Drosophila melanogaster: one gene and its partners. The protein of the gene in region 1 purifies or fractionates together with the protein of each later gene. This does not show direct contact. Each region holds a gene or a part of one and is shown in the gene's direction. Other genes may lie near its edges.

Evidence for each region.
Region 2: the proteins of CG33253 (region 1) and Kdsr purify together in Drosophila melanogaster (affinity purification with mass spectrometry, with the first as the bait; one large-scale study listed by BioGRID). This does not show direct contact.
Region 3: the proteins of CG33253 (region 1) and CG2070 purify together in Drosophila melanogaster (affinity purification with mass spectrometry, with the first as the bait; one large-scale study listed by BioGRID). This does not show direct contact.

Annotation. Positions count from the first base shown.
Region 1 is NC_004354.4:19,178,141-19,187,778, forward strand, and holds CG33253 (uncharacterized protein), read left to right. Parts: upstream 1-5,280; 5' UTR 5,281-5,404; coding exon 5,405-5,585; intron 5,586-6,325; exon of another isoform or gene 6,326-7,307; intron 7,308-7,549; coding exon 7,550-8,066; intron 8,067-8,137; coding exon 8,138-8,303; intron 8,304-8,393; coding exon 8,394-8,633; coding exon of another isoform or gene 8,634-8,774; 3' UTR 8,775-9,138; downstream 9,139-9,638. Other genes in the region: CG7556 (uncharacterized protein), read right to left, coding at 1-107, 860-1,539; CG7453 (uncharacterized protein), read left to right, coding at 2,139-3,053.
Region 2 is NT_033777.3:25,256,753-25,264,108, reverse strand, and holds Kdsr (3-ketodihydrosphingosine reductase), read left to right. Parts: upstream 1-1,610; 5' UTR 1,611-1,708; coding exon 1,709-1,925; exon of another isoform or gene 1,926-1,927; intron 1,928-1,995; coding exon 1,996-2,564; intron 2,565-2,628; coding exon 2,629-2,853; 3' UTR 2,854-3,146; downstream 3,147-7,356. Other genes in the region: GlnRS (Glutaminyl-tRNA synthetase), read left to right, coding at 1-771; CG11858 (uncharacterized protein), read right to left, coding at 848-1,164, 1,224-1,299; CG11857 (uncharacterized protein), read right to left, coding at 4,073-4,615, 4,677-4,745; Nup358 (nucleoporin 358kD), read right to left, coding at 5,550-5,908, 5,980-6,987, 7,052-7,356.
Region 3 is NT_033778.4:7,658,148-7,665,472, forward strand, and holds CG2070 (uncharacterized protein), read left to right. Parts: upstream 1-3,707; 5' UTR 3,708-3,889; coding exon 3,890-3,969; intron 3,970-4,018; coding exon 4,019-4,282; intron 4,283-4,351; coding exon 4,352-4,768; intron 4,769-4,823; coding exon 4,824-5,040; 3' UTR 5,041-5,261; downstream 5,262-7,325. Other genes in the region: CG30495 (uncharacterized protein), read left to right, coding at 1-15, 73-289; Grl43a (gustatory receptor-like 43a), read right to left, coding at 1,109-1,291, 1,362-2,441; CG2065 (uncharacterized protein), read left to right, coding at 5,893-6,149, 6,206-6,362, 6,428-6,687, 6,749-6,977.

The DNA of each region.
Region 1 (9,638 bases):
TGTTCTGCTTGCGCTTCCGCAGATTCTCCTTGTGCTCCTTGCGAAGGCGCGCCTGCTCCTCGGCCTCCCGTTCCAGTTCCTCCTGACGACGGACGGCCTCCAGTTCCCTGTGGATGCAAATTGGGATGAATCAATTAGTTTCTTACTTCTTACTTTTGGATACCGTTCCCACACGATTTTTGTTAGCTTGTTAGCTATTCTACGCTAATCGAATTTTAGTACCTTATCTGTGGTCATATCAAGAATGCTCAGTTTCATTTGATTATCGTGCGACACAAAGACTGACAATATTCCTTCTTTGGAACCTATCTAATGGTGCAAGTCATCTTAAGGTGCACTCATGAGCACCTTTTTTGGAAAGCATAAAATGTGTTTGCATGGTGACATATCGTTTTCTTTCTTTGTTTCTTAATTGAATTGCCTATATTTAGAAGAATTGTTCTAGCTTGTGAATATAAAATGCTAACTAAAGGCTATGACCAAAATTTCAACTGAGAAATGAGAAACTAACCAACTTTTAATATTAAATGATATCACTCTGCATGCAATGAACATACAGAAACCACAGCGAATTAACGATAAGAGTGGCAATGTAAGTTATCAAAACCTGATGCAATACAAAACTAGAATTATATTCTTTTGTTGCTCTATATACTAAGATATTGAAGACTAAAGTAAGAGAGGTCTGCCAAAACTCCGAGCACAAGGTCGCAAAATAATAATCCTTCCGCTGCCAGGACCTCTCGATATAGAAACTTAATGAAATAGCAAAATCCTACAACTCCAAAATGACTACAATGGAACAAGGCGCTATAATAACGTAAAAACGTAAGGTAAGCAATAGAACCCTGCCACTTACTGCCTGCGCTTCTCCAGGGCGAGTTCCTTTAGCTCGTTGGCCTTGCTGAATCCGTTCTTGATGGTGCGCGGCAGGTTCCACAGGGCCAAGGGGATCTGGATGGGCAGGGTGTTGAGTAGCGAGGGCATCGGTATCTCGCTAAGGATCACGTCCATGTCGATGTTCTTGTTCTTCTTCTGCAGCTTCTTCAGCTTGGTGCCAAAGACCTGTTCGGCGGTGTACTTCTTCTCGAGGTAGGCCGCCCAGGCGAATAGATACTGGCCCACGGTGGTTATCAGGAAGAGGATAAAGGCGCCCTCATAGAGCCCGATCTTGCGCATACGTCGGTAATAGTAGAGGGCAGACTTCCAGTTGGGCATGCCCTCCTTCAGTACCCGGTCGTACTTCTCTCGGCGCGACGGATCTTTGAGAACCTCGTAGATGGAAACGAGGTTGCGGAACTGGATGTTGGCATCCTCGGCCGGATTCTTGTCCGGATGCAGGACAATGGACAGGGTGCGGAAGGCGCGCTTCACCTCGGCGCCCGTTGCCGTTTGGTTGATGCCCATGAACTCGTAGAAGTTGCGGTTTACCTCCTCGACCAAGTCAAAGATCTCCAGTTCCTCCGAGTGCCAGGCGCTGGCGCCAGTGGCGCAGAGCAGCAGGAGGCCGGCCAGCGTCAGCTCCGGTCGCATCATCATCGTGGTCCGAGTTCCGAATCCAGGTCAGGTCCAAATCGGAGTAAAATCCAAATTTAATGCGCCAGACCCACGCACGCACCACAAATACACACACACGCAAGCAAACACGGATAGGCTCAGCTGGAAAGTGGCAACGTCAGCAGACTGGTCGCTGGTGCGACAGCGTTGCCACCACTCGGTAAAGTTTGTGTAGACAAAAAGATATTTGCAACGTTTCTATTATTTATTTTTACGAATTTCTGTTTTTTTGTTCAAAAATAATTTACTGCACTAATTCTGTAACCATATATATGTAATCAAATTTTACAAATTTTTTTTTCCAACTAACGACACACAGTAGGTCAAACAGATTTCGTTTGTTTGCTCATTAAAATTTGCTCATAACATTTGTCAAGTTCTTCCTGAAAACAATAAAACAAATTCTCTTTCTATACCGAATTTTGTTTTAACTTGATACACGTTTTTCACCTGTTTCAAACCAAAACGCCCAACACTGTCGACTGTTATCGATAAGCTCTCGATGGTGCATCACTTGTGCAACTAAATGAATAGAAGCGACGCGACGTTTCACTCTTATAAGAATAAGAAATCAGACGACAATGAAGCTGCTCTATATGCTGTGGCTGCTGAGCATCTTGGTCCTGGTCTCAGGCCAGCAGAAGCAGACAGCTAACTCCGCCACCAAGGACGCCCCAGTGGTGGCCAATGCGACGAACGTGCTGCAGGCCAAAGTTATTCCAGGATCGAAATTGGAATCTGGATCTCCGGGAGCTGCCAGCCAGCTGGTGCCGGGTAAGGATGCAGCTGTGTTGCAACAGGACAAGAACTTAAACAAAACGGCCACAGCAGAAAATGCAGGTAAAGCCAAAAATCTCACAAACACCGATACAGGAGTGCCCACCATTCCTTTGGTCACTTCCAAGCCGGCTGTGGAGCAAAAGGCGGCCAAGGAGGCGACCAATACGACCTCCACTACAACTTCTTCCACCACGACCACCACCACCACGGCAAAGCCAGCTGCAGGATCAGCCATAGTCACCGAGGGCCAGTCCATGAAGGATGTCACCAAGCCGAGCAACTCGTCCACCAACGGCGCGGCAATATCCCCGACCAACAGCACCCACACCGCCACAGCCACCACCAAAACTGTCAATTCAACCATCATCGCAACCACGCCAAAGCCGAAGAAGCCCCCAGTGGTATTGAGCACTGATATACACCAGGAGGGGGAGGATATGGCGGAGCTGGAAAAGAGTCAGGATAAGCCAGGTACAAAGGGCGCTCCCACCCAGCCATTGGCCACACCACCAGAGCCATTGGTGCAGGGGCTTACTGGAAGTAATCTTGCCGATCACGGAGAGAACGGGTATGTGGTACCCATTGTTACCGTGCTGCTGACCGTTCCGCTGGCCATCGGCGTGGTGACCATCATGTACCGCCGCTTCCGCGACATGTGGAGCACCAGGCACTACCGTCGCATGGACTTCCTGGTGGACGGCATGTACAACGACTGACGAAGACGCGGACGACAGGCTGGCGGCAAGGGCGGCCACTTCACCGGGTGCTCCAACGCCTCCTCCGGCGCACTCGGATGATTATTAGTTGTTTAAGTTATACACGACTGGACGTGCTTGCATTCAATGCAAGATCGCCGGATCGAAAGCAGAGTGAGAGTAGCGGAGAGCAGAGGAGGCGGTGGGAAAACGAAACGAAACTATGATATTGCTCAGTCAATTAGAGGAGGAGGAGAAAGGGATTCGCTTTGCAGCGTGGCTAGGATACCCTTCCGAGCGGCCAAATTGAATTTAAAGCCAACTGATTTTCAACACTAAATTCGAGTGGACTCTTAAGTTTAAGCATTTGGATTATTGTCAAGCATTTGTTAGCAATCAAAAATTGATACCGGCACTTATATGTACCCTATATATACATATATCTACTTAGGCTGCTGCTGTACATCGAAGGCTGCGGACTCTCAACCATCAACCATCAACATCAACATCAGCGCAATTAGCAATCACTTGATGCATCCACAATCTAGCCGTAATGTGCCTTACGAACCAGCTCTATATACACCTTTACACATGATATTCTCCATCGCCGGGTCTTCGAGGTGATTTCTTCGCATTTACTTTACGCAACCAAGCAGCAGCACTCACTCAAAAAAAAAAACCAGCAGAAACCAAAAACACAAGCAATCGGCCTGAAACAAGCAAATTTATTGCATACCATGTGTATATACATAAATATGAATATATATATATATATATATACATATTTCTTATTGTTATTAATTTAACAACTACAATAAAGCAACAAGGCTAAAAAAAAAAAGATATATTTGGAAATGAAGTTTATTTATTAAGAGCCTCGGGCACTACTTGTGCCTCTATGATATCGTTTTTCCTCGTTTTAAAACAAAACTAATTGCTTATTCTGTAAAATGCAAACAACCGCAGTCTTGAATGTCACGCTAATTACTTGGTTTTGAATAATTCATTGAAATGTTAGCAATCAATTAAAAGGAAATTAGATAAAAACAGATATATATATGTGATATTTTAAATAACAAATAATACAGGATTGTAGTTAGTCGAATAGAACCCAAATTCAATTAATTCCTTAATAATTTTTTTCCAAACTCATTTTGGTAGTGTAAATCATGATTTATGCTTGCCAGCCCCGTTCAAATTCAAATATCATGCACTAAATCTTCTGGTTAACCCATTAATGTCTTCATTTATGCTTTATGGTTGGGAACACGCAATCGACTCCAGTGGCCAGATTTCCCTGGAGATTCGAGGCTACCAATTGATGTGCGTCCGGAGCTGTGACCTTTGGTGATAATAGATCACCAGCGCCTGTTCCTCGCGTCTTGATTTAGACAAATGGGGAACGAGGAACTGCCTCCATGCAGCCACCAACCCACCCACCTACAAATGGGCAACCTCCAACCAAGCTATGAAATAATGGAAGACAAGCGAGGAACTGCCGAATGCTCTCGATGAAGTGGTTTATAAATGATCTCCATCTGCGAAGTTGTTCGTGGATCGTTTCAATAATTTAAACAAAAAGAACTAAACTGCCAACAAAACGATCCATTCCGCGTGCGTGTTAGTGTGTGCCGGGAAATTCGGAAAAGCGGGAAAATCGTTCGGCCACGAAAATGTGTGAAATGAGCCGAACGATTGCCGCTGCCAGCGTTTTCACCTCTGTCTAGGATACAGTTTATGATACCCAATAAAGTGTAGGACCCAGAGGGTATAATGCATTTATGAAACATTCGTTAACCAATTTGGTAATATATCAAAGATTTGAGAAGTTTTAGCAGCAATTAATTAAAAATATAAAAACGTTAGGGAATTATTCATATTAAATATTCAAATAATTTATTGATCAATGCAACATAATAATTAGTTAATAATTAAACTTTTATTTTAAATAATAATTGGTGCTTCGTTTTGAGTATGCCATTGTGAATTGAATGTTCTTGTTAAAAGAAAAATTAAGATTATAGATTATTTTTGTTATACGATTTTGGTATATATTCAGAATATATGAAAGGAAACTTCAAAGAGATTGATTCCAATTCGAATTTCCACTTTGCATGAAATATGAAAATGCAAAATTAGAGTGCACTTTTACATGGTATCTAGCAGTCGGGACACCGATTGGTATGTGGAATAGTTTTATACTTCCTGTCTTCGCCTCTGCGTTTGGCTTTGTGTTCGTTCTTGGCGTGCTCATTTCAAAACGTGCGCTGGACGCGTGCAGTTCTCCAGTTCGACCAGTTAACGTCTGATACCCGTGGAGTGGAAATCGCATCCCTCCCATCCAATACGATCCGAGAACGTGTCCTGCTGCAATGCATCCTGCCTCGCCGCATCAGCACCGCGCCCGCCTGCATGTCGGATCGCCAGGATCGGGTGGCATACAGGCCTCCTCCTCCACGGAGACCTTCCCACTCACTCCGCAGCACCAGTCCTCGCAGCACGCCGTTCACATCCCGCCGCCCCCCTCCCTGCCCTACCAGGGACTCAAGACCTGTAAGCATGGCGAAAAAAAGGGTTAAGAATCTAATGATATGATATGATATGATATGGGATATTCCATTTAACATTGATCGCGGATTAACTTTTTAAAAAATCATTCATTCATATCAGGTCTAAAAATATGATCAGTGGTATGTTCAATTGTGTTGCGCCTTGTTAAAAACGAACTAAAAGTGATATACCCAAATAAACAATGGTATAATTAATGTTCATCGAAACCGAAAAACAAACAGCGAGGTATTCGGAAAATATACAATACTTGAGCACTTTTATTCGAAAGTTTTTATGACCTTAATCAAGATATGCAAAAGAAATAATATTTACGTAACGAGTTACTCTAAATAAACGGACTAAGTTTAATTGTTTCAATAGCAGTATTATAAACATCTAATTCAACTTTAGACATTCTAGTAATTTTACTACAAGGTATATACATATATATTAATCGTCCGACAAGTTTTAATGATATATATGAACTATATACATCTGCTGGAAAGGCTGAATGAAACAATTGTGAGAATCTTACTATTGATTACTTTTAATTCATTCATTCAATTAACATTCTATTGCCAAAACATTTGCGTCTTTTTGTCTTGTTTAGCTAAACAATAAAGTACTTGTAGCCTGATTAAAAAGTGAATGAAATAATGATCGCAGATGGCCCAGTCGTGTGTGTGTGGCAAGACTTCCTTGATATCTGGACCGGATTTCCAGATGCATATAACCAAATAATTCGCTCGGCGATTTGTTTAGCTCATAAAACTACACGCACATTGACTGCCAGATACAAATAGTTTTTCACATTTTCCCACCGCACCCACACACATGACCTCACCCCACAGAACTCTAGTGCTCCAGAATAATTCATAATGCATAATTCATAAATCGGCCAAATGTGCGATTAATGCGATACGAAACCATAATCAAGGCGCGAGGTGAGTCAGTGAATCACCAGAGTGAATCAAGTGAATCGTATCCATGCATCGATCGATCGTCGCGACCACCTATGAAGTATGCAATATAAACTGTGCGCCGACATATGAAAATAAATAGAGATGATCGGTGCGGACCGGATCGGATCAGATCGGATATATGTATATGGTACGGATCGAAACTCGAGAGATAAACAGAGCGCCGGAATGGGCAACAGCCAGGCACGGGCGCAAACATGGCCAGTTGTGGAGATGTGGAAATCAGTGATCATATTCAATGTCTGGTCCATAGCCATAAACAAAAAAATGCCCAGCCATGTTGTACATAGTTAGTCGAGCATAAAAAGCAAAGGCAGCCCCGTTGCTGGGTATTTATGGAACTCCTGGGCATTTGTACTAGATCAAAAGCAATTTGTACAAGTTAATTGCCCCAAAAACAAAAACAAAAAAAAATACAGTACCAATCGTGGAATATGCTGGCGCAATTGAAACAATCAGGTCGATCACCGAAATCACCGAAGCCACTTTTCATTGTAAACAAACAAACAGCGGCCATTTCGAAAGGATCATAAAATAGGTAATTGGAAAACACATTATTGGGTCAGTCACTGCTCGCTTTCCCTACGGAAAATCTACGGAAAATCTCAACGATTTGCCAAATCCAACTGAAACATGTATCTTTTATCTGTTTGGCCAGCAGTTGTAAAGATACATCCATACTCGTACTTAGTATTGGGATCAGTTTTCATTTGATGGAGTGTATTCAGAAAGTTATAATATACTCGTATGTTTTTAAGCTAAAGTTAAATGCAAAAATGGTGTCCATTTTCATAACCAATGATATTAATTGCATATCTATTGTTTAAGCTTTAATAATAAATATTAAATTAAGTCCAAAATATTACAAAATGTTGTGAGAATTGATTGTCCTAAGCAAAAGTTTAAAAACAATCATACCAGCTAATCATCATCATAACCAATCATACCACTTTACATACTGCATACGATGATCTTCAAATCTTGCAGCTGAAAACGATGACATGGGCTGCGTGGAGATCCTGGCCACGGTGGTGTCCGTGCTGATCATGGTGCTAACCTTTCCCATCTCGGTGTTCATCTGCTTCAAGGTGGTCTCCGAGTACGAGCGAGCGGTGATCTTCCGGATGGGGCGACTGCGCAGCGGCGGAGCCCGTGGTCCCGGGGTCTTCTTTGTGCTGCCCTGCGTGGACGACTACTATCCGGTGGATCTGCGCACCGTCTCCTTTGACGTGCCGCCGCAGGAGGTGCTCTCCAAGGACTCGGTTACTGTGACGGTAGATGCGGTTGTCTACTACCGCATCAGCGATCCCCTCAAGGCGGTCATCCAGGTGTACAATTACAGCCATTCGACGAGTCTCCTGGCGGCCACCACGCTGCGCAATGTGCTCGGCACCAGGAATCTGTCCGAGCTGCTGACCGAACGCGAGACCATCTCGCACACCATGCAGATGTCCCTGGACGAGGCCACCGATCCCTGGGGCGTTAAGGTGGAGCGCGTGGAGATGTGAGTAGCCAACTGCCGAAAGTCGTGATGTGATCATGACATGATCCACTCTATCCATGATCCGCTTGCAGCAAGGACGTATCCTTGCCAACTGCCCTCCAGCGGGCGATGGCCGCCGAGGCGGAGGCAGCGAGGGAGGCGCGGGCCAAGGTCATTGCCGCCGAGGGCGAGATGAAGTCGTCGAGGGCTCTGCGCGAGGCTTCCGAGATCATCTCGGCCAGTCCATCCGCCCTGCAGGTGAGTCATCTTCTTCCATCTGAATCCAACCATCGGACATTTGGAACTGGCCCAAATGGTTTCATTCGTTCCATCTTCTTCTCTACTTAGTTGCGATACTTGCAAACACTGAGCAGCATTTCAACCGAGAAGAATTCGACCATCATCTTCCCGCTGCCCATGGAGCTGCTCACGCCCTTCCTGAATACCCAAGCACACTCGCAGCAGCTGCAACTGCAACACCAGCAGCAGCTGCAACAGCAACAGCAGCAGCATCAGCACCAACAACAACAACATCCTGCGGCTCCTGGCACGCCACTCCATCGACACCCGCACCAACACCACCAGTGACGCTCGATGTCGGTGCTGCAACCATATCTGGAGGCACTGCATCGCTGCGAGCTGCAGCGTCAGCAGAAGCAACAGCGAAGCGGAGCGGCTGCAGCGGGAGCGGCGGATGACGATGACGACATCGTGGGTTTCTTGCTCTAGTGGAACGGCGGCAGCAGCGACAGAAAGCGGAACTGTCCGGAAAATCCGGAAAATGAGTCACCAATGAATTCGAATGAAAGTGCCATGGAATTCCCTAGATTCTGGAGAGATTCAAACATGGTTCGGACTTAAAAATAAATTTTTTTTTTTTAGAATTTATTCTAATATGTCGAATTTAGTATGCAATAGTAACTGAGGCTTTTCCAAGGCTTTTCCTTCTTCATTCACAGTCGTTTTAAGTAGAGACGTTATATTTAAAATAACCAATATTATTTGTTTGTATCTTAAGAATTAATAACAATAGCTAACTACAAACCAGGGTAAAAGCTAACCATTTAAATAAACCAAATGATTCAGAAAACACATTTTTTTTTTCAGTTCTTCCCCCTTTTTCGAAACAACAAAATTTACATTTATATATGATATATATATATGTATGTACATATTTGCTCTTCGCTTATCTAAATAACTCAGATTTGCATGCCACTTCAGCGAGTGTGGCAGATAAGCTCTTCAGTGCTAATGTGACCGCCAGATCAGAATTGAGTCACCATCGGGTGGCTCCAGCCAATGACCCGTGACCCCAAAGCAGAACTGCGTCTCAATGCTCCAGCTGAGATAACCGATTGATTAAAGTGCTAAACGCACTTGGGCCAGATAGAGCTTACTCGGCTTTCATTGATCGTCGGTCGGAATAATCTGAAAGTGTACGCCTCCAGTTGGCAATTCTTTCGGCGCAGTGCAGTGAATCATCCGTGGTGACCCATGGCTCTCGACTTACAGAGCGGCTCTTGGTGTTTCCCCGGTCGTAGATACACTACACTGAACGAAAATTTACGAGCCGATGCATTTACATTCCATTCC
Region 2 (7,356 bases), on another chromosome or scaffold:
ACGGCTCTGAGACGTAGAGGCTTCCCAGCAGAGGCCATCAACAACTTCTGCGCCCAGATGGGCGTAACGGGTGCCCAGATCGCCGTCGACCCCGCCATGTTGGAGGCAGCAGTGCGGGATGTGCTAAATGTTACAGCTCCCCGTCGGTTGGTTGTCCTGGAACCGCTCAAAGTTACCATAAAGAATTTCCCTCATGCAGCGCCCGTGCAGCTAGAAGTGCCTGATTTCCCGCAAAACCCACAGCAAGGAACTCATAAGATCACCCTAGACAAGGTGATCTATATTGAGCAGGGAGACTTCAAGTTGGAGCCTGAAAAGGGATACCGTCGTCTGGCACCGAAGCAATCTGTGGGTCTCCGGCACGCGGGTCTCGTAATCAGCGTGGATGAGATAGTAAAGGATCCGGCGACTGGTCAGGTGGTGGAACTAATCTGCACCAGCCAACCTGCCGAGCAGGCCGAGAAGCCCAAGGCTTTTGTCCAGTGGGTATCGCAGCCGATACAGCTGGAAGTGCGTCTGTACGAGCAGCTCTTCAAGCACAAGAATCCCGAGGATCCCAACGAGGTGCCCGGCGGTTTCCTGAGCGACATCAGTGAGCAATCCATGTCGGTGGTGGTGGCATTCGCGGATCGGGCCCTAAACCAGGCCAAGGTTTACGACAAGTTCCAGTTCGAGAGGATTGGCTTCTTCTCCGTAGATCCTGACACCAGTGCGAACCACCTAGTGTTCAACCGCACTGTGGGATTGAAGGAAGATGCGGGCAAGAAGTGAACGGGATTTCGGGAACCCACAAATGAAAAGAAACAAAATCCGTATCACATTAAAATTCGATTTATAAAATCAATGTTCATTTCTTTCCCTCCACCATGATGATGTGGTAGCCAAACTTGGTCTTAATCGGGGGATCTGTGTACACGGGATTGTTGACAGTGGAGATGGGCAATGCGAAGGCGGCGTCCTGAAATGGGCCCACCATCGCTCCTCGGATCTGCCATCCGAGATCGCCGCCTTGTCGCGCCTTGTCCTCGCTGTAAGCAGCCGCTACCTCGGGGAATTTTTGGCCTGCCTTTAGCTTCTCCATCGCTTCGGTGATCTTGCCCTGCTTCTCGCACAAGATGTGACGAACCTTTACAGCATTGCCTCCCTTCTTCTCCTTACCGGCAGCTGCAGATGGCAAAATTCATTTGAAGGATAGGATTTTTGCTTTAGTCGTAAGCACTTACACTTGTCTTCGGCGGCTGGCTTTTTGCCACCTTTCCCTGCATCCTTTCCACTCTTCGCATCCTTTTTCGGTGGCATTTTCGTTCAATGTTTTTAAATTGCAAATTCGAAACAAGTAAACAGTTTGGTTGGAGCAGACACATGCGGTCAGTGCTGCGCACTAAGATCTAACCTTTTTTATCAAACCACTTTATTTCAAGATCTAGTAAATATTTATGTTGTTGATTCATATGGGTAGCCATTGCACATTTAATTTATTATGAATAAAATTAAACAAAAAGTTTTGAAGAACAAAATATTTGCTTGGCCGCTTATAGCCACATTTGCATCTCTGATGTGCGTCGAAAGCTTTCGATAGAAATCCGGTTTGCGTCAACGGTCACACTTAGATGCACTTTCTAATCAGACGTTTAACTTTGGGTGCAGATAAGCCAGCGTAAGAGATTAGAGAATCCGGGAATTATCGCACCCTCTTGAAATTGTCATCATGGAACTGAGCTGGGAGATAGTGTTCTGCGTGGGCATTGCGGTGCTGGTTCATGTTCTGGTCTACGTGTTCGTCATGGCCAAGAAACCGAGGAGCATTGTGGGTCGTCATGTGGTGGTCACCGGCGGCTCCAAGGGAATCGGACTCTGTCTGGCGGTGGAGTGCGCCATGAAAGGCGCCAATGTGACGGTGATAGCGCGCGACGAGAAAATGCTGAGTGAGTAATGTTCTGGCTAGGAAACCCCACCCAAAATACTCTTATCTTTGATATACGATCTTTTTTGCAGGCGGAGCAGTGGCTCTGATGGAAGTGATTCGCCAGCGGCCAGATCAAAAGTTCCAGTACAGAAGTCTGGACATAAGCGGCGATTATGACCAGGTGGCCAAAGTGCTTGGCGAGATCGAAGATAGCTTCGGCCCCATATACACTTTAATAAACTGTGCCGGAATGGCCATTTGCGGTGTGTTCGAGGAGGTCTCAGTCCAGGATGTCCACAAGCTGATGAACGTAAACTTCTTCGGCACCTATAACTGCACCCGTTATGTCCTGCCCAAAATGAAGAAAGCCGGCGACGGCATTATTGTAATCACTGCCTCACAGGCGGCTATGTTTGGCATCTATGGATACGGTCCTTACTCAGCCACCAAGTACGCCCTGAGAGCGATGGCTGAAACGATTGCAATGGAGTCTCGGGAGCACGGGGTCAGCGTCACTCTGGCCATGCCCTGCGATACGAATACACCCGGATTCGAGGAGGAGGAGAAGTCAAAGCCCAGGGAAACCAAAATAATCTCTGGTGGAGGAGGTCTCATAGAGCCGGAAGTTATGGCGAAAGCTATACTTAAGGATGCCCTGGTGAGTCTGTTACCCATAGTTAATATTCACGCAATCTAACTAGAATACTTTTTCTTATTTGTAGAAGGGAAAATTCACCTCAACTGTTGGAGCAGAAAGCTGGCTGATCACCACTTTGGGTGGAGCATTGCTTCCTTGGGATGGCTTCTTCACCAATCTTCTGCACGCCATAGTTTTGGGACCACTGCGAATAGTTAGCTACGCTCTGCACAAGTACTTCAATAGTGTTATACGCAAATGCGCTCGAGAGGATAAGGCCAAGGCCACATCGCAAGTGGAGTCCAAGTGAAATCTCTCTTGTCCCGCTGCCCTTAAAGTATTCCCAAGTGCCCATAATTAAATCACTTTTTTATAATTAATCAAAATGTGCGATTGTTTTGCATGGTTAGCCTATTCATATATTACAATTCCCGTATTATCATTCATTTTTATATATATATTTGTATGTGCATTTGAACTTTTTTATTATTGCCGTGCTAGGGTTTTAACTATTTGTATCGTGTTTTCTAGACTAGATGACGTGTGCTCGTTTTGTTGGTGTGTGCTTCGTTTTAACAAAAATAAAATGTATTTACTGTTCAGAAAATGAGTCGTTTTTAAATAACCACTTAGTGATTGTGCTAATCGCTAAAGCAATTTCACGCATTGGCCTAATCAAAATTGGTTTCGTATCTTAAAATCGAACAGCAAACTACATGCAGAAGCGATTAGATAAATACAAAAACCACGCCACAAAAGCCATCAACCTTTTCCAAATGGTTCAAAATTCAACGATAAATTATTTGGTTTTCTTTTGTCTTTCTTTATTCATAAGACGCACCCAGTGTACACTTCCTATAGTTTCAGTTTTCAATTCGCCTTTTTTTAACATTCTGTATAGTTAACGCTAACAAAAATTGTATAATCATAATGCAAAATATATATATATATATGTTTGTATATATATTTAGACATATTATTATAGCATCTTAGCACGATAATCAAAAATAATTGGATTCAAATACAGTAAGTCTACTTTTTGGATAGAAGAGTTATTAAATTATTGTTAGGATTAGGATGAAAAACTAAATTAGAGCTGATCTGCAGTATTTCGGTATCGTTTGGGATTTACAATAGATAGAAAGCATTGTAAATAAATATAAATTTAAACAAGCAGTTAGATTAAACAATAAACAAGGTATTTTGCACAAGACGCCGTACGACAACTCAACAGTGAAACGAAAAATGCTACACAAACCGAAAAGGAAAATCATATTATAAGCTTGTTTCTGGTTGATGTTATGCTGCTGGTTCCCATTCCGGGCTGCTTTCGGTAGCTTTCTCTAGTAGTCCTCAATGGCAATGATCTGCGGTGGTTTGATGGACGATGCTGTTGGCGACCCCACATCCTTGGTCGCTGCGCTGTCGCTGGTTGGTGATGGTGGCGCTGCAGCTGCAGAAGAGGCATTTGAAGGATCACCCGATCCCGCTGCCGTCGCCCGCGTGTCCGACGTCTGTGCGGCTAATTGTCACTTTGAGTTGCCCGCCACGGAACCGGGTCCGGAACCCGCCAGATCATTCACCCGCTGGTAGCGCGGTTTATTGCGGGTAAACGGCAAGTACTTGTACTTGATCATATGCTTGATCTGGCGCTTCATCGTGATGCAGAAGAGCGTGATAAAGTACATGACCAGGATGGGCCAGAATACCGGCACGTTGAAGAAATCGAAGAACGTACAAATCAGACCGATGAGCGTGCTCTTCGCCACCGACAGCCAGAACTTGAACTCCGGCAGGCGGCGAATGAATGGCCGGAACTCTTCGTTGCTGCGAGTTGGCAGATTGGGTCCCTCGTCCTCGTCATCCTGCGAATACGGATCGAACTCCGGGTCGATCTTGGGCGTTAAAAAAGCGATAAACAGGTTCAAGTGGTAAATGCCAAGCGCATAGCACACGATGTACCAGCCCTGATAGATGAAGATGCGCAGCACAAAGAGCAGGAGCAGAAAGCCGGCGAACACCCAGCGCATTCGTGTGTGCGGTGTGCTACGGTCCAAGGCGGATTGGTAGGTCTGCGGAAGCAAAGGATGCGGGTTAGTTCCCGGCACGTACGGGCTATCCACAATTACTTACCTGTGAGAGGCGCTGAAAGAACTTCTTAACCCCGCCGCCGCCGGCAGCACTGCTGTCCTCGTTCATCATGGTCGTCGTCGGTAGTCTCTCATTAATCTCCGGCCCTCGACTTTTATTGTTGACTTTGACGCTGTCGTTGTTCTCGCTGCACACGTGTATCGATTCGGGAATTGCAAAATTTTCCGGGACGGGGGCAGGGGCTGCCGGAAAGGGGCTAACAAAACACGAAATGGGCCAACTGGCAAACTAGACGCGCTTCAATCGCTAATTATTCTCTAATTCATATTCTGCACCGCCCGTCGTCGCCTTCTTCTTCTTCCTCCTTGTTGTAGGGCTGTTTCAACTGTCAGTTTCCTGAGATTGCTATATAGACAGTATTCGGGATTCGTAAAGTTCTGGCCACAGTTTAGTGCGTTTCTATGCGGTAACTAATTTAATTACACTAGAGATTTGTCGGCAATTTATTGTTCTTTTTTCACACAGAGTTCACCACGTCATTATGCTCTCTCAGTGGCAGGGCTGTCAAACTATCGGCTGGGGATGGAACAATCGGGAGTTGAGCGATTATCGCGAAAGGTAATTGTTTGTTTTAATTTTTTATCTAAGTGCTGTCGATATTTTAAAAATAGGTAGAGGTACATTTAATATATAAAAACATAGCCAGTTTCCTTGTGCTATATGGTTGTACGTCCGAATTTGTCTCCTCTCTAATATATCGATTGCTTTATTCAATAGTCAAATTTATTTCAAATGTAATATTAATGTTTATCGAAATTTTATTAGCAAAATGTGAAATAGCCATTGTCGCTACTGTTTTGGATGAATATTCTAACACAATCCTAGACATGCTACATATATTTAGATCCGGTTTGCTTATGAGCTCGCCTGCTCCTCCGGCGCGTCGTCATTCTTGTTCTCCTCATCACCTTGCAAGGCCTTGGCTCGTTTTATGCACGAATTGACCGTGTTGAGGAACTCACTGGCGATCTCTTCCTTGGCGAATCGACAGGCAAGGCGTTCCAGGACGCCCTCGGTGTCAACTTTACCCTCTGCGTCCACCGCGTAGTTGTAGCCGGCCCACAGGAAGCTCTTCATCTGCGCGTTCATGTAATCCATTTGCAGGGAGGCGGAGATATTCATGTTAAGCACCAGCTTGTGGATCTGCTCCTGCCGCATGATCAGTCGGAATGTCTGCAGCTCCGGGTGCTCCAGCACCTTTATCTCACCGACACCTTTTTTTTTTTTTTTTGGTTTTATAAAAACTTTTAGTGTGAATAAGAAAGGGACTATTACTACAGCTTACCTCGCTCCTTCCATTGTTTCGATTCGGCGTCATAGCGATAAAGCTTCGCCCGCTCGCCAAACAGCTTAGTCTCGTTCTCCTCTCCCGTGGTGACAACTATCTCATCCGGCAGCTCTACAATGGCATCATAGTGCGGATCGTAGTTGTCATCAGTGGTCGCGTCGCCGTCATCATCGCACTCTTCTGTGGCTTGCGGCGACTCGAAGTTCTTGAAAGCGTTCTGATGCGTGAGGTTATAAAAGCCGCCCCCGGCGGACTTGTTGAATCCCACGGTAGTGCCCTGGCTATTGGCCGACAGGTTGGCAAAGTCGTTGCCCGTCTTGTTCGCTAAGTCCGCAAAAGTGCCGCCCGGATTGCTTGCCAAATCTGCAAACGTGCTGCCTGTCTTGGCCAAATCGGCAAATGTGCTGGTCGTCTCCGGCACCAACTCCTTCTTTTCCTTGCCTTCGGCTTTAAGATCAGTGGTGTTATTCGAGGTTATGTCCTTTTCCTTTTCATTTTTTGCAGCTGTAAATGAGAAGGTTGCCATTTGTCCAAAAGCGGGTGCACTGCCAAACACAAAGTCTTTAGCAGGTGACTGGGTTTCAATTTTGGGTATTCCAAAGGCGTTGGACCCTCCAAATAACAATGGGGTTCCGCCAATGATAGATTTTGGTTCTTCCTTGCCATCTGATTTTTGCAAATTAACTTTGTGGCCTCCAAAAGGATTGGCGTCTCCGAACACAGGTGCGGCAATTCCACCGAAGGCCAACTTCGGTGCTTCTTGGGTCGCTGGCGATTGGGAATCCGCTTTATTGCCTCCGAAGACAGACTCTGAGGAATCTTTCTTCTGTTGCTCAGCCGCTTTATTTCCACCCCCGAAAAAGAACTTGACAGAACCGTCAGACGAATTTTCGTTTGACGAGCCGCTACGGAATATAGATCCCAAAACGTTTCCTTGTCCTTCGCCTGATGCTAGTTTTTGAAGATTAGCTAATGGGCCAGCATCCTTTCCAGGCTCCGATTTATCTGAAGTGAACATAAAAAGCGGTTAGATCCTTTTATCTTGAGGTCAACGTCGAATTATACATACCCGTGCTACCGAAAATGAATGCTGAACTAGGCGTTTTGCTTGCCTCAGAAGCCGAAGAGTTATTTCTGCTCAGCGAACTGCCTTTGAACAATATGGTGGCAGGTGTTTGGTAATCGTTAGGCTTGGCCAATGGCTGGGGGAGAGTCAGTAGGGGAAGGGTCATGGGAAGTGGAGGGATTACTTCGTGCGTGGTTGGCCTTACAGAAGAGGTTTTGCCAACATCAAGTACTTCCGATTCGCCTCCTCTGCTCTTTGCCGCCCCATCATTTTTTTGGGACGGTTTATTTGCTTCCGTCGATTGGGAA
Region 3 (7,325 bases), on another chromosome or scaffold:
TCAGTATGTGGTAGAGTGTGTCCTCTTTCAATTCTCTTTTTATACACTTACTAATTTTTGGTTTTCATTTAGAACCATTTTGAGGCCGCTCCTTTGGGCCGTGATGAAGACGCCTAAGAACGGGGCCCAGACCACCTTGTATGCTGCCTTGGATCCTGATCTCGAAAGAGTGTCGGGTCAGTACTTCAGCGATTGCGCTCTGGCTCCGGTAGCTCCCGCTGCCCTCGACGACCAGATGGCCCAGTGGTTGTGGGCGCAGTCCGAGAAGTGGGCGAAAATTGCGCTGTAAATGGGCTACTGGAATAGTGTGATTGGGCTAGTCGCAATTAAAGCCACTTAAATTTCACAACAGCCGTGGTTATTGAAGTACGCACTCTTAGTATAATAGGATATACCAGATTCAATGGCCTGTACTAGGTAATAAGAACAATTAAAGGATTTGCTAGTCGAGGAACATGATATCCTGATTCATATATCCTACCTGTTACGTGGACCTTAACTACAATAATTTAGGTTGATTGTTACTTTACAAGTAAATCGTATAGTTAGTTCAGGTAATATGTTAGATAGGAACATGTGTCATATTTACTAAATAAAATTTAAACTATATGTAAGCTAAATAAAACTGGGCTCCAGTGTGGCAAATCTTATGCACAATTGAGCATCTCTTGTCTGCCGAGGAAACGAGAACAGGACCTTAAGCATCACGTGAAATCGAAACTAAAGGGATAAATCGACAGTGACAGCATTTTCTTGTTCTCATTAGAGTCACGGGATTTTCTTGAAACGAACGAATTCTCATAATTCTCTATGCAAACGGGAAATCCTGTGTTGTTGAATCGCAGTGCGTAAAACCACGTATCTGACAAGTTTACTACTACAGTCAATAAACCTTAATTTTGTATAAAAACAATAAAACCATTTGTAGCATTTAAATAGTAAGCATTTAGTGCTTTATAATTACGAGCTCTGAGTTCTGCTTTCAAAAGATACACTTTTGTAGGCGCTAAGGAAGTTCTTTTGACCCACGCAATTATACGATAACTGTGTCCAGCTCCACAGTTATATAATGATCTCATCCTCCTAATAGTGTGGTCCAGATGGGTTGCTATTTATGGGTCACGCACTCGCTTATATTTCCTCCAGTTGATATGGTGTACTGCACAAGAGACAATGCTGTAAGGATCACCGTGACAATGTAGTCCATGACGAACTCCCTGTCGCAAGTGATGTCTAGGATGATCATATTTTCGAGCGGTTTCAGCTTCTGGTGAATTATCAACGAGGTGTGCTGCGGAAATGTAATTGGGAATGAATTGGAGAAGTCGGCCAGGGAAGCCAGCTGCCGAAGCAGATCTCACCTCGTTTTCGAGAACCATTGCGATTAGAAGGTGTGGCCTGACCTTCCTCATATACAAGCCCTGAACGATTACGAACAGTTGCTGAAGCTGTACTTCAGCATCGCGAAATCGATCGGTGCACATGCCCAGGATAAGCACATACAGTATCGGAACGCAGACGGGTCCCAAGCAACCGTCCGTGATGATGTAGATCTTGTTCTCCAGCTCGTCTCCGGCGAACAGACTGCATTCAATGAGCAGTTCGGCGTTGAAGATGCAGGTGAAGATCATCAGGTAAACAGAGGTCGAGAGCCAGGAGACGTTGTCCCTAACGTGCTTATGCAGATTGTTGATGCGCAAATGGAGCTCAAAGAGCGGGATCAGGCGCCGATGGTAGTGAAGCTCAATATCCAACCGATTCGCATGGTCCTCGATGAAGCGCTGCAGGAACAGAATAATGGTGTGGTACCAGCTGAGCAGGATGAGTTGGTAAATGAAATAGCCAGCAAAGCAGTACTCCAACAGCACCCAGTAGAGGAAGATGGACGAGAGGAAGTAGGGCTTGTACCACAAGGAATCCAGCATGACGGTGAGTATCCACAGCTTAGCCAGGTACACCACTAGCAATGTGGAGTCGCACTTATACTCCATACCGAACTTTTGCTCCAGCGCGCTGGTTATATGCAGGATCTCGTTCACAGTATGCTTCAGGAACCTGCGATCCCTCTTCAGGTGCAGGAAGATTAGTAGGCGCCGCAGGACGCCTATCACGATTCCGAGCACAATGAGACTCATTAGGAAGTTCTGCGCCTTGCTGTCCTGCACCAGTGTGATGTGGATGTATATGCCCAGTCCGAGTACGAAGTACTGTAGATACGGGCTGGCCAGCAGTATGACCTTGAGGACAACCACGATCTTGGACCATATTCGATGGTACTGCGACTCCTCCACTTGATTGGTGCGCTCGTTGTAGTGCAGCTTGAAGAAGTGGAGTCCGCAGGCGATTGCGTAGATGATCCAGGCACTGCCCTTGAAAAACCACCGATGGAGAACTTGGTTTGGCTTTCTTTGATGCCTGCGAAAGTTGGTGGCGGACCACATGGCTTCGGGTGAATGCGAGCCTGTGCTCATTGGATTCCGACCAGTATGTTAATCGAATCGAATTCGGGTGTTAGTACTATTCGCATTAACGAAAATGGCCAAATGAAAGTAAAAGGCCCAAACAAAACAAAAGGCTCTCCAACAAATTACATGGTAAATTAAGTAAGTATTGCTCAATCCAAAAATAAACGGAGCTGCTGCCCAAAAATTATCATTTCATTTAATTTATGCAAGGTAATAACATGGAAGACTAACTACTTCCCCTCGTCATCGCAGAAGCTGGTCATTAAATGTAATTTTTACAAATCGATTGCTGTGAAAACAGAGCCTTAAATAAGGTGTATTTATAGAGAGCTTTCCCACATTCATCATTTAAGACGATCTGAAAGCCTAGGTCTGAAACTCATTCTAGTAATACACTTTAGCTATATCTACATTACCCTATGATCGACGGTTATTATGATTCTATCTATACAGCTTACATAATAAACTTTGGCCGGACGATAAAAACTTACGGAAGCATCCGTTTCCCTCGGCGACGCGGCAATCGTAAACCCTCCAACCTTAAACTTAAAACGATGTTTTATACCGGTCCACGTTAATGTTTCAAGTATGGACATTCCGAGGTTTTGATATTGCTCGTAGATGATCCAGGCACTGCCCTTGAAAAACCACCGATGGAGAACTTGGTTTGGCTTTCTTTGATGCCTGCGAAAGTTGGTGGCGGACCACATGGCTCCGGGTGAATGCGAGCCTGTGCTCATTGTATTCCGGCCAGTATGTTAATCGAATCGAATTCGGGTGTTAGTACTATTCGCATTAACGAAAATGGCCAAATGAAAGTAAAAGGCCCAAACAAAACAAAAGGCTCTCCAACAAATTACATGGTAAATTAAGTAAGTATTGCTCAATCCAAAAATAAACGGAGCTGCTGCCCAAAAATTATCATTTCATTTAATTTATGCAAGCTAATAACATGGAAGACTAACTACTTCCCCTCGTCATCGCAGAAGCTGGTCATTAAATGTAATTTTTACAAATCGATTGCTGTGAAAACAGAGCCTTAAATAAGGTGTATTTATAGAGAGCTTTCCCACATTCATCATTTAAGACGATCTGAAAGCCTAGGTCTGAAACTCATTCTAGTAATACACTTTAGCTATATCTACATTACCCTATGATCGACGGTTATTATGATTCTATCTATACAGCTTACATAATAAACTTTGGCCGGACGATAAAAACTTACGGAAGCATCCGTTTCCCTCGGCGACGCGGCAATCGTAAACCCTCCAACCTTAAACTTAAAACGATGTTTTATACCGGTCCACGTTAATGTTTCAAGTATGGACATTCCGAGGTTTTGATATTGCTCGTATAAAGAAATGTGTAAGGGGACTGGATCTGGCCAGTCGCCACTTGGAGCTGGTAGCATTCGGAGCGGAAAGATGAGTGCACCCACGGATTACCTGTTCTGCCCGCTGGCATATGGGTCAGCTCTTTCGGCCATCGGAATCTATCTGCTCCGGTGAGTTTTGTCCACTCTCAGTGATGGCCCTTTAACCTCAGCCAGTTAGACAATATATGCAGGGAGGTCAGTTCACCACGAAAACGAATGAGACCGGCAGAGTGGCGATTGTGACCGGCTGCAACCAGGGGATTGGCAAGGAGACCGTTCTGGAGCTGGCCCGCAGGGGAGCTACCGTGTACATGGCTTGTCGGGACATGAAGAAGTGCGAGAATGCCCGTCGGGAGATCATCAAAGCGACCAACAACCAGAACATCTTCGCACGCCAATTGGACCTGTGCTCCATGAAGTCCATTAGGAACTTCGCTGCTGGGTAAGCACATTCCTATTGACCTTAATGAATACACATATAAATAAAGGTACTCAATTTAATACTTTTTAGCTTTAAGCGGGAGCAAAACAAGCTTCACATTCTTATCAACAACGCCGGCATTATGGACTGCCCCAAAATGCTGACGGAGGACGGATTTGAAATGCAAATCGGAGTGAATCACATGGGCCACTTCCTCCTCACACTTCTGCTTCTCGATGTCCTGAAGAGTTCCGCGCCCAGTCGCGTTGTGGTCCTGTCCAGCATTGCTCACCGCTTCGGAAGGATTAAGCGTGACGACCTGAACAGCGAAAAGTCCTATGACAGAAAGATGGCCTACTGTCAGAGCAAATTGGCCAACGTCCTCTTCACCAGGGAGTTGGCGAAACGCCTGAGCGGAACAGGGGTCACGGTAAATGCCCTACATCCCGGAGTAGTAAACACGGAACTGTTCCGCAATACACCCTTTTTGGGTTCGTGGTTTGGAAAGTAAGTTTGCTGATTGCATCATCCCATCAGCTATTAACTTTCGGCTCGCCTTTAGATTGCTCATAGCCCCTATTATATGGATATTCATAAAGACGGCTAGGAATGGCGCACAGACGACCCTGTACGCTGCCCTGGATCCCAGTTTGGAAAAAGTATCTGGAAGATACTTCAGCGATTGCAAGCAGAAGCACGTGGGCTCGGCCGCCCAGTATGACGATGATGCCCAATTCCTATGGGCGGAAAGTGAAAAGTGGACGGGAATTAATATATGAGCAACTTTATGACTCTTTTAACTCTTACCCTGTATTGTTGAAATACATTTAATAGAATAAGCTAAATGAGCTAGATGTTCTGTTCAACTTTTGTAAAAACATTACAAACATTTTAAAAACATTTGGCTGGAAGTCTTGGAACCAGTTATCTGAGTAATCTTAAATAAACTGATTTAGTAATTGCATTTTTTAAATAAACATTTAGTTAACGTTGCCTTGGCGTCACTAGAATCTGAACTATTTAGCAATATATGATTTCGGTTTAAGTCATGAGCTGTCATAGAAGCAGGTGAAAAACTAATCGAAAATAATAGAATATAAATAAGAATAATAATAATAGAATAATATGGTATTATAAGATTAGGTATTAATTAAATTAGACTTGCAGATAGTTATTTAGCTTATCATGCATTTGCTCGACTTGCAATGAGGTTTTTATAAACTAGAAGCAAAAAGCTCTCAGCAAACCCCAAACATATTTCGTTCTCTCGCAGTTTCGAATCAAACTCATCGTGAGTAAGCGTTTTGTGGCTTTCGTGTATTTTGGAGCAGATAGCGTACATTTCGTATAAAAGGCAGTTCCAAACGGACGGGCAAACATTCATTGACAGAACCAGCAAGTGAAACGAACACAAACGGCGGCAAGATCTATACTGTATCCAAACAAAATGGGCTGCCTTACTAATTGCTTGTGCTGCCCCCTCATTTTTGGCCGTCCATTATCGGACTGGCTGCCTACTTGCTAAGGTATTTGCATGGAATAGTTCTACTGCTGAGTAATGATTAATACGCTCGTGAATTGCGGCCTGTGTTGAAATAGAGTGATAAGAATTAATGAATTTCAGAAAATACATGCAGGGCGGTCAGTTCACCAAGCAGACCGATGAGACCGGCAAGGTGTTCATTGTCACCGGTGCCAACACGGGCATTGGCAAGGAGACGGTCCTGGAGATTGCCAAGCGAGGAGGCACTGTGTACATGGCATGCCGGGATATGAACCGGTGCGAGAAGGCGCGCCAGGATATTATCAGGGAGACAAATAACCAGAACATATTCTCTCGAGAACTGGACTTGAGTTCGCTGGAATCCATTCGCAAATTCGCTGCTGGGTAAACGCAAACATGATAGATCGACGAATGCGTTACTGATTTCCCTCGTTTATTAGATTCAAGAAAGAGCAGGATAAGCTTCATGTCCTGATAAACAATGCAGGAGTTATGCACTGTCCCAGAACACTGACCAAGGATGGCTTCGAAATGCAGTTGGGAGTCAACCATATGGGACACTTCCTGCTCACCCACTTGCTGCTGGACGTATTGAAGGTATTTTGGGTACTCAGGACTTTCTTAGCACCTTGTTAACCAAACTCCCTGCTTAATCTCACTAGAAAACTGCACCCAGTCGCATCGTGAACGTTTCCAGCCTGGTGCACACCCAAGGTTTCATTAAAACTGCCGACCTAAACAGTGAAAAGTCGTACAGCAGAATCGGTGCCTATAGTCAGAGCAAGCTGGCCAACGTCCTGTTCACCCGGGAATTGGCCAAGCGCCTGGAGGGAACGGGGGTCACAACCAACTCCCTACATCCCGGTGCCGTGGACACGGAGCTGTCGAGGAATTGGAAGTTCCTGAAACACCCCTTTGCACAGTAAGATAGAAGACATAAGTGGGCACTACTTGAGTTTGATATTAACACTCGTATCGCTTAGGCTACTGCTCAAGCCCCTCCTGTGGGTACTCTTCAAAACCCCTCGCAATGGAGCGCAGACCACTCTCTACGCAGCCCTGGATCCTGCACTAAAGGATGTTTCCGGGCTCTACTTTAGCGACTGCCAGCCAAAGGAAGTGTCCGCAGCTGCCCAGGACGACAAGACTGGAAAGTTCCTCTGGGCGGAGAGCGAGAAGTGGACCGGCGTGAATTCAACCAAAGTTGATTAAGCAACCATTAGTTTATCCCTCGCCATTTCATAATTTATTATTTTAATAGCTTATCATAATGAAGACTAACGCAAAATGTAATAATTTATGTTTGAATTGTAGAATTCTTACGGATTCTACAAGCTGAAAATAAAGAAATGCTCCCAAAAAAGCTTTACCTAATCTAAAATTTGTATTTTGAGATCAACATTGTTGCATTTCTGTGTTCAGTACTAAAGAAAAATGGTCAAATTCTTTTGTTTTTTTTGTAAAAGTGATGGAATCAATTTGGATGATTCATGCTTTATTTTTGTACCCGTTATTCCTGGAGTAGGAGGGTATACTAAATTAGTTGGAAAGTATGTATGT